Linked DNA regions of Daphnia pulex. The main gene of each other region encodes a partner of the protein of the gene in region 2 in a complex. Links are inferred from orthologs where the notes say so. Each region holds a gene or a part of one and is shown on either strand. Other genes may lie near its edges.

Region 1 (3,185 bases), on a different chromosome or scaffold from region 2:
CAACCTTTTTTTGTTCTTTTAAACAAAACAGGCGGATCAGATTTGTTACGCTGTTCTCTGCGTGTTTTCTTACGTGGCCGCCGGAAGCGAACAGCGTAAAAAGGTTGAGCCGACTTGAAAGCTCATCATCAATCGACCAAGCAACACACACCGGACATCACTTGATTCGCTTGTTACTTTTAGTTGTTGTACTTAAATGATTACTCGTTCGTTTTGTCGTACGAGTCGTCGCAATAATAATTATCTAGTCATGGTACGGTTCATCAAGAAATTTGAACCAACAGCAGTTGACAAATTTGCGTTCGAACATTCACTGTTAGTATTTGTAATTAATGAATATAAAGTTGTTTTACCCTATTGATCATATCATTTGAGCGATTGTGACTTGCGTGTAGCTATCGTGACGTGCTTATCATTGTTTTCGGGCAAGCCAACGCTATAGCTTTCAAACTCCGATTTAGAAGAAAATATTTGAAAGAATGAATAATAATAAACCAAAATTCACTCATTGAATGGAATTTTATTTATACTCTCGAAAGAAGCAGAAAAAATTCGAAATAAATCGACGTGACAAGAAGGTTTCTCAAAGTAAGGGCATCATTCCAGGTGGGTTACTGTTTGAATTTGTAGTACCGATTGAGGCTGATGCTCCTGGGTGTTCTGGACTGTGCTTCTGTTTCTTTTTCTTCTTCTCCTTCTTCTTCTTCTTGCGATCTTTCTCATCTTCGTGTCGCTTTTGTTTCTTATGCTTTTTTTCGTAGGATTCACCGCCCGAACCGGCTCCTCCCTCTCCTACTACTCCAATGCCCGGTCCAGCGATTCCAGCTCCAGTTTCTTGAATTGAGATCTCGCTACTCTTTTTGTGTTTCTTGTGTTTCTGTTTTTTCTTCAGTGGGGCCAGGGAAGAGGTTTGATACTGCTCAGGCAACTATGAAATAAAGATGTGAAAATTAAAATAACAATTATGTGATTTGCTGTCTAAAAGTCTCTTACTGGTCCTGGATGAAGACGGAATCCTGCAAGTTGAGAGGAATTCAAGAATACCAACTCCTTGCCACCGATTGGAGGTTTTTCAATGATGGATCTTAAGGATGAATTGTCTGTGTTACCAGGAGTATCAATCATGCCGGGTAATCCAGGTAAGAATGAAGATAGCGAATCTTTGAACTTTTTGCCACTGAATTTGTTGTATGAATGTTCCAAATTGTAGTGAGCCATTAAATTTGTTGCTCCGGTTAGGTCAGTATCTCCTGCGATAGATTTACCTTGAGTGAAAGAATGATACAGTCACGTAAAATATGTATACCTGGCAGTTCCTTGTGAAGATAAAATGGTCCGGTATGAACAATTGTTGGGGTCTTTCCAAGTGATATGGTGGTTTTCAGTGTTCCAGTGGAATCTTGTTGCCTGGGAACAACTGGGCTTCGATTTCCTCTTGGAGAAGATCTTGGAGAATTCGGCTCAAATCTCCGAAGAGAATCGGCCACTTGGATGGTGAATGATTCCGACATTTTTTGTCAAAAACTTTTACCCTTTTTACTCGTTAGTATGAGGTCATCGCTTGTAAAATCTCCGTATCCGACTAGACTGACCTTGGTCGAATCCGATATATCGTAGTAATTATAGATATTAATAAATTATTCAGGCAAATGTTGGATGCCAAAAATGACAATTGACAGAGTAAACACAGCAGCGAAAAAGCATAACGAAACACCAGCGCCACCTGTACCCAAAAGATATAACTAGATGCTCCTCTATGCAAATATTTTTGCCCGAGGACTTGAATTGGCCAAGTTGGCGAGAGCACGCTTTCAAAAGTCAAAAAGTCACACGAGGTTTAGACTCAGTGGCAGTTGCTAGGGTAGATAGTTTTGTGTCCGCCTCGTGTGATTTAATGGTGAGTTTAATCACAATTTTTTTCAATTTCCGTCTGGTAATAGTATCAAACTGTTGATGTATATTTTATTATTCATGTTATCAAAAAATATCTATCTAGCCAGAGGTCGAATTCAACTTTCGAATTCGAGTTCGGCGTCCTTCAATAGTCTCAAGAAAAGTCAGAAAACTGGCTGAAGGCAGAGGCTGTTTTTTAAAAAATCCTTATCTCATACTCCCTAGTGTATTGTAGAGGGTTTTTTAAAGGCCAGACTCAGCTTTTCCAACCCAGTAACCCAGCCCTTTTTTTGTCTGTCTCAGAATTGACCCTAGGGGCGTTGATGAAAGGACCGGGTCGTCACCCTTAAAATATAGTCGTCCTCTTTATTCTGGAACCACAAGTCGTGATGTTACGAGGATAGAAAACCTACCTTCGCAACCGTGATAATAAGAACTCTGTTTCTCCAAAGGTAATTATTTGTATAACCTAGGCTTATTTCCTTTTAAATATACAATACAATTCGTATCTTTTCTTTACCTAGATCGTTCATTCCGTTTTGTTCGTTACACGTTAGTAAAATTATAATTCTCAACATGGATGGAGTCACAGCTTATGGCCTTTTGAGGAAATTCCAGCAATTGCAAGAGGAAAGGGTCCACACCTACAAGATTTTTCATGAGTGAGTTACAATGTTATTTAAAAAATTTCACATGAGGTAATTTTTGCATGTATTGTTTCTTTCCAGAGGGCATAAGATTTATCTGAGCACTGGACCAAATTATGACTTTATCCAGTTTCGTACACTTGTTCAAGACATAACTCAAGACTTTAAGCGAATCTCAGAAGAAATAATTAAAATTGAGTGCCAATTGAGAAACATGCAGCCTGAACTGACATTGCATGTTATCAAAGTGCAGGATTATGAGAAAAGGCAGCTGGAACTGGTAAAAAATTATTAAAGATTAAGATTTAAAGATTTATTAAACTTGTTGATTTTCTGTTTAGATGGCTCGATTGCAATTGGCTAAACAAGAGTTGCAAGACATGCAACATATTGAGGATGCTGAAAATGACATTCTCATGCGTGAAGTGCATCACTTGAAGAAAGAATTGGCTGTGGTTCAAGACAAGATCAATCAAAACATGGAAGCTGTTTGTTACCAATTGGCTGATCTGATGTAATTTTTATTTTCATCACTGAAGATTATTCTCTTCCCATATTTGCATTAACCTGTTGACAATCTAAAGAAATACAGCATCATAATGCTTCTAACTAAATGTTGCATTCTTAGTTTTCTATTTAACATAT
Region 2 (2,443 bases):
ACAGGAAAGTTATTACGCCGCCCACCCAACGTCAACTACGCAATAGATAATTCCAGTTATCTTAAGCAAACAACAAATTTATTTAGACCTATAGTATCCCAGCATTACTACCGCGTCACCGGAAGAGAATCCTTTATCCGCCCACTCTGATCAGAAAACAAGTGCAAATTATACCGATAATATTATTATAAAGGTAACCAGTAATGTTAAGACCACGTCCGTATAAAACCGAATGATCCTAAATGATAACTGAACTAATATTACATTGAAAGCATCTCGAGGAGTAACACTTTTTGACACATAACCGCGCTCCATCCATCTCTTAATTAGCGAGGTTAACGTCGTTACTATTACAACGGCAAGTAGTAAGTTGTTGGTGGTGGACAAAAGCACAAAGTTGGCTGATGGGTTCAAGACAATGTTACGCTATTACACCTCTTTCTTTTGTATCTACGTTATTTTAAGTATAAAGACATATTCGATTGTGCCATTATAATTAGTAATTGTGCATGAGAGTGTATGATATCCAACCACGAAATGGAATTCAAAAATTGACAGCCGTACAAACGCGTTTAAATGAACTACAAATTACTGGACTTCTTGTCGGCTCCATTTCCCGCGACATATGCACGACATCTGCCATCGCATGTCCCACGATTTGGCAGCGTTCGATCGACCCACCCGCAACCCCTTAACGACGATGCTGATGCCCTTGCAGCGCGAGCAGTAGCGAACATTATGCGGTTTCGAACCAAGGTAGACGTGGCGAATCGAGTCGACTTTGCTCTCGCCTTCGACGCCGTCGTACTTGGTTGAACTGGGCTCTTCTGGATGGCTTCCGTATTCGTACTGCATTTGCAAAAACAACAAATAAGGATGACAATCCTAATGGAAACTGGGAAAAAAGAAACTTGTATCGTACCTGTAACGGTAGCTGATTAAACAAAGTAGGGCTGGCTATTCCACGCGCTGGCAACGAGAGCCCAATGTCAGGAATAATGAGTTGACTCGAAAGTTGGCAACATTCGTCTACAAGTATGGGCACGCACAAATGAATAAATTAGCAAATAAACACACTGAAAACACGTTGAATGACACAAAAACACAGTTTGCATAATCGGCACTCCGGGAAAGAGACACTAGAACAATCCAAAGTCGAAAGAATAACAAACTGATGCCGAAAAATGAAAGTTCATTCAGATTTCGTCAAGTTAATGTCACTTGTATCGTCATCTTCCATTTCTAATGCGGGGTTTTCTACACCAGAAGAAGGATTTGCGAATGAAGGCGAATCAGGAGGAGATCCGGTCGGCGTTAGTTGATAAAAATCCGAGCGATATTCAATCCCAAGAGATTGGCGTTCACCATCTTCTTGCGAATCTTCGCTTTCGGGAGGCTGAGGGCTACTAGCTACAGAATCGATTTCCAAAGTGATTTCCAAGTCTCGTTCTGCGATGCTTATCAGATACGATGGCGATGTGATGTCACCGTTTTCACTCATCCAAGAAATGTCCTCAGTGTCCCATGTAAAATCGCTTTCCGACGGTCTAGACGGGGGCATAGTTTTCAACGTTAGCGGTTGCACGCGTTTAGACGTAACTTCGGCTTCAATCATTTGGTTCTGACGAGGTGTGAAGGACTGAAGGGTTGTGACTTCGTTATCGATTTTCTCAGTAGGGATGTAATATTTAGGCTGGATTGGTAACGTATTAAAGCTAAGTGGGATCGTCGTCTTGTTGGGTTGAGAAGATAAAAGGTGCTGATCAAATCCCGAATCACTCTTTTTGTCAACTTGTTTCTCCTTCTTCCACAAATAATACGCTACGAAGAAAACAATCGCCCATATTGCGGCTGCAACCACCCAGTATGCAAAGAGCCAAAGGTTAAACTCGGAACGATCATTACCGACTAAATGATAGCGATTCCAAATAGCCGGACACAAAACAAACCAGTAAGTAACAAAGAAAACTAATGTGAATACAGGAACACCAACGGTCCAAAAAGGCCTCGTGCCAATGAATAAACTGCGAATGAAGCCCATTTGCTCGCCAAGAATTCCAAGAGATGTTTAAATATGGGTCTTAAAGGGGAGCACCTGCTAGTCACGACTAGAGAAAAATATATTCTGATTTTCTGGGCTACGAGAAACGAATTTTTATCGAGCAAGGAAGTGGTCGATCCTTCCGGACGTGGCTGGCGTTAACCACAGCCACCACTGATTTGTAACTTAAACCTGACAACCGTTGTCGGTGCAGCAACAATCTCTTGAGGAAAAATTTTGAATAAATATTACCTAAAAGGCTTTCATCAGGTTCTGATGTTTGAAGAAGTCGAGTTAGAATGCGAAACAGTGTGGCAATGACATCAACGTTCTCCATGTAGCTGAAAGTAGGCAAGCACGAGTGACGAATCAAGCCCCAAATCCTGAATATGACCAATAGTT
Region 3 (2,663 bases), on a different chromosome or scaffold from region 2:
CATGGCCGCCTCGACTTCAGCCCCATTCGCAGGTTTAGCGACAGGACTTGGTGAGGGAGACGGATGGTGGATGATGTTACTGAAATTGATGCCCATGTGTTGAAGTGTATTGGGAGCCCAAGTTACAGAACGGCAACCGTTTATTGCCTTAGACGTGGACCTTTGGGTTGATCCACAGCAAAGATAACTTCTATTCCCCCACAGGGCAGGGTGATACACATTCACAAGAGGAGCACTGTCTTTGACCACTATCAGGAGAAAAATAAAATAAATTATTAGATGAGATAAAATGAACATGTGAGATAAATACTGCTATTTGTCACACATAACTACTTGAGACGTCAAAAGAGAATGTTCTCACCAACTCGGATATTCCAAAGCCAGATATCTCTTTCTTGCTGAGTGGGAGTGAAAATGCAAAGAGTCAAGTCTGTTGCACTACAACCTTCATTACACTCATAAGGATTGTACACTATCTGAAAAGCAGGAGATCCCTTCAAATCACTCGGAATGGAACCTGTAAGGTTTGCCAATGGACCGATGGCAGGTGTGTCAGGTGCTGGATCAACAGCTTCCACAACTTTCACTGTTTGGAGGTCGACACGTCCCTTTTCTTTTCCTTTGCGATTCTGTTGTTTGGAATTGATGGTTGTGATGAATTAGTGATGAAGGGATTCACGAACACAGTCCATGCGTGTTTAGTAGAACTAAACCTTACCTCGCATTCGCCCTCGTAGTAGGCGAGGAACTTTGTGGTAAGGACGAACCATCGACTCTTGTAGTTGATCAAACTAAACCTCTTCTTGTTCTGTGATCGTTTCACTAAATTGCCTTGCTTTTTTACCTCACCTGCAAGAGGTTTGGCAGAGCTTTTAAACATACTTACAAAACGATCACTAATCAAAAAAGTAGTCCCCACTTGATAAAGCTGTTATAACTTCGTTCATTGTCTTTCTCCCTGGACCCTGGTACGAAGAGAATGAAAGCAGGACGAAGAAAAAGCTCTCCAAACCTCTCTAAATACTGGCAACTCGGACAGATCTAGCGGCAGTTGCCGACAACTATTATCGGATTTAATTTCCTCCGAAAATTAGCGATAAAATCGAGGAAATATACATTTAAAATAAAAAAATAAACAACGATTAATTGATTTAATGACAATTTAATGTAAAATTGAATTCTTTTACAACATTCTAAATCAAATTTGTTTCCATTCAAGAATGGCGTGTCGGGACAGCCACAAAAAGGAGAACATTGATCAAAAAATAGTCTGCTGAAATCCCCAAGCAAACGAACTAGAAAACGTCACATTCTTCATTCTTGAAAACAAACTATATTGTTTACATTACTATATTGCTTCATTCCAGTGGGAAAGTAAAAATGTCAGAAACGGCTCAAGTTAGTTCATTACCTTTGCCACCGATGCAATATGTCAGTCTTTTTAATGAAGAAAACGCTAAAAGAGGAAGAACACCGAGACCACCTCCTCCGATCACAGACAATTATTCCATGTTTGGTAATCCATATAATACTGATGATGCTGTGATCCGACCTCTTGAAAGCCAGGTGATAGAAGTTTTTTCTTAATCAAAGCTTTCTTTAATACTCGTTTTACTATTCCAGAATATACGACGTCTGTACCCTAATAACTATGACCACAGAAGAGAACTGAAAAAGCTCAATCACTCCATCACTGCTAGTTTCCTTGACTTGGTTGATATCTGCATACGAAATCCAGAGTCTGAAGCAAGAGCCACAAAAATTGATGACCTCACTTTGCTTTTCATTCACATGCATCATCTGGTCAATGAATTTCGGCCTCATCAAGCAAGGGAAACTCTTAGAGTTATGCTAGAACAACAAAAACGACAAAGATTGGAAATTGCAGAGCGTTTCAGAAGACATTTTGACAAAGCTTGGGAATTGGTTCAGCAGGCTGTCAACACAATTCCTGAACCAACTGAAGGCAACATCAAGCTCCTTATAGATGTTGAACGGGTTCAACCTTCAGAAGGCAATGCAAGCAACCAAACTTCTGGGAATGGGTGTACTGAGGAGGATCGTGTTCTGTGTCAAATGATTGATTCTTTGTGAATTCTGTGTTATTTTATGTTTATTCAAAGTGGAAAATACATTCGATCTACTCGCCTTTCTGATGTAAAATAGTCTGCTGTTTTATTTTTAATCGTTTTGGGACAAACATAATCTCGGTGATTTATTTTTTTTTAAGAATTTTTATTTTAAAATAATTATTGCAATAGATTTTTCTATTTGTATTTTAGTTGATAAATGTTGATGATCCACCTAAATTAAACATCTAGATCAAATTGCAACGTTGTTTATTCGTTTTAGTCCGTCTGCAGTCGCTGTAACATATTTTTCCTTCAAATTTTTCCTCTTGAAAGTTGATTCGAAACAACAATACCGTTGAAGTTAATTCTCTGCTTTTGGTAAGTGCATTGCTGTTAATTTAACTGTATATTGAACCGGTCTATCGATAGTTATTAGTTTTATCATTTCGCCTTGCAGGTAACATTCAATTGTTATAGCCAAAGCAAGTTTTTACACGTGATCATCTTTCGTTAGTAGAGTAAATTTTAAAATGACTGAAAGAAAAGTCAGCCCAGTTCCCGTCTATAACAATATCCTAATGGAACAATTTT

The links. The genes of interacting proteins can lie anywhere in the genome.
Region 1: mediator of RNA polymerase II transcription subunit 16-like (region 2) and mediator of RNA polymerase II transcription subunit 19-like share a complex: the UniProt entries of both Drosophila melanogaster proteins name them as parts of the mediator complex. The link is inferred for Daphnia pulex from reciprocal best matches to the Drosophila melanogaster genes MED16 and MED19.
Region 3: mediator of RNA polymerase II transcription subunit 16-like (region 2) and mediator of RNA polymerase II transcription subunit 7-like share a complex: the UniProt entries of both Drosophila melanogaster proteins name them as parts of the mediator complex. The link is inferred for Daphnia pulex from reciprocal best matches to the Drosophila melanogaster genes MED16 and MED7.

What each region holds. Positions count from the first base shown.
Region 1 is NC_060023.1:10,280,182-10,283,366, reverse strand, and holds mediator of RNA polymerase II transcription subunit 19-like, read right to left. Parts: upstream 1,729-3,185; 5' UTR 1,512-1,728; coding exon 1,307-1,511; intron 1,266-1,306; coding exon 994-1,265; intron 929-993; coding exon 584-928; 3' UTR 501-583; downstream 1-500. Other genes in the region: MAP kinase-activating death domain protein-like, read left to right, coding at 32-118; required for excision 1-B domain-containing protein-like, read left to right, coding at 2,470-2,555, 2,622-2,820, 2,882-3,058. UniProt on the Drosophila melanogaster protein: Component of the Mediator complex, a coactivator involved in the regulated transcription of nearly all RNA polymerase II-dependent genes.
Region 2 is NC_060021.1:615,806-618,248, forward strand, and holds the end of mediator of RNA polymerase II transcription subunit 16-like, read right to left. Parts: coding exon 2,294-2,443; intron 1,030-2,293; coding exon 923-1,029; intron 850-922; coding exon 589-849; 3' UTR 501-588; downstream 1-500. UniProt on the Drosophila melanogaster protein: Component of the Mediator complex, a coactivator involved in the regulated transcription of nearly all RNA polymerase II-dependent genes.
Region 3 is NC_060019.1:10,647,734-10,650,396, forward strand, and holds mediator of RNA polymerase II transcription subunit 7-like, read left to right. Parts: upstream 1-1,244; 5' UTR 1,245-1,380; coding exon 1,381-1,566; intron 1,567-1,623; coding exon 1,624-2,094; 3' UTR 2,095-2,163; downstream 2,164-2,663. Other genes in the region: tyrosine-protein kinase Btk29A-like, read right to left, coding at 1-248, 362-629, 719-880. UniProt on the Drosophila melanogaster protein: Component of the Mediator complex, a coactivator involved in the regulated transcription of nearly all RNA polymerase II-dependent genes.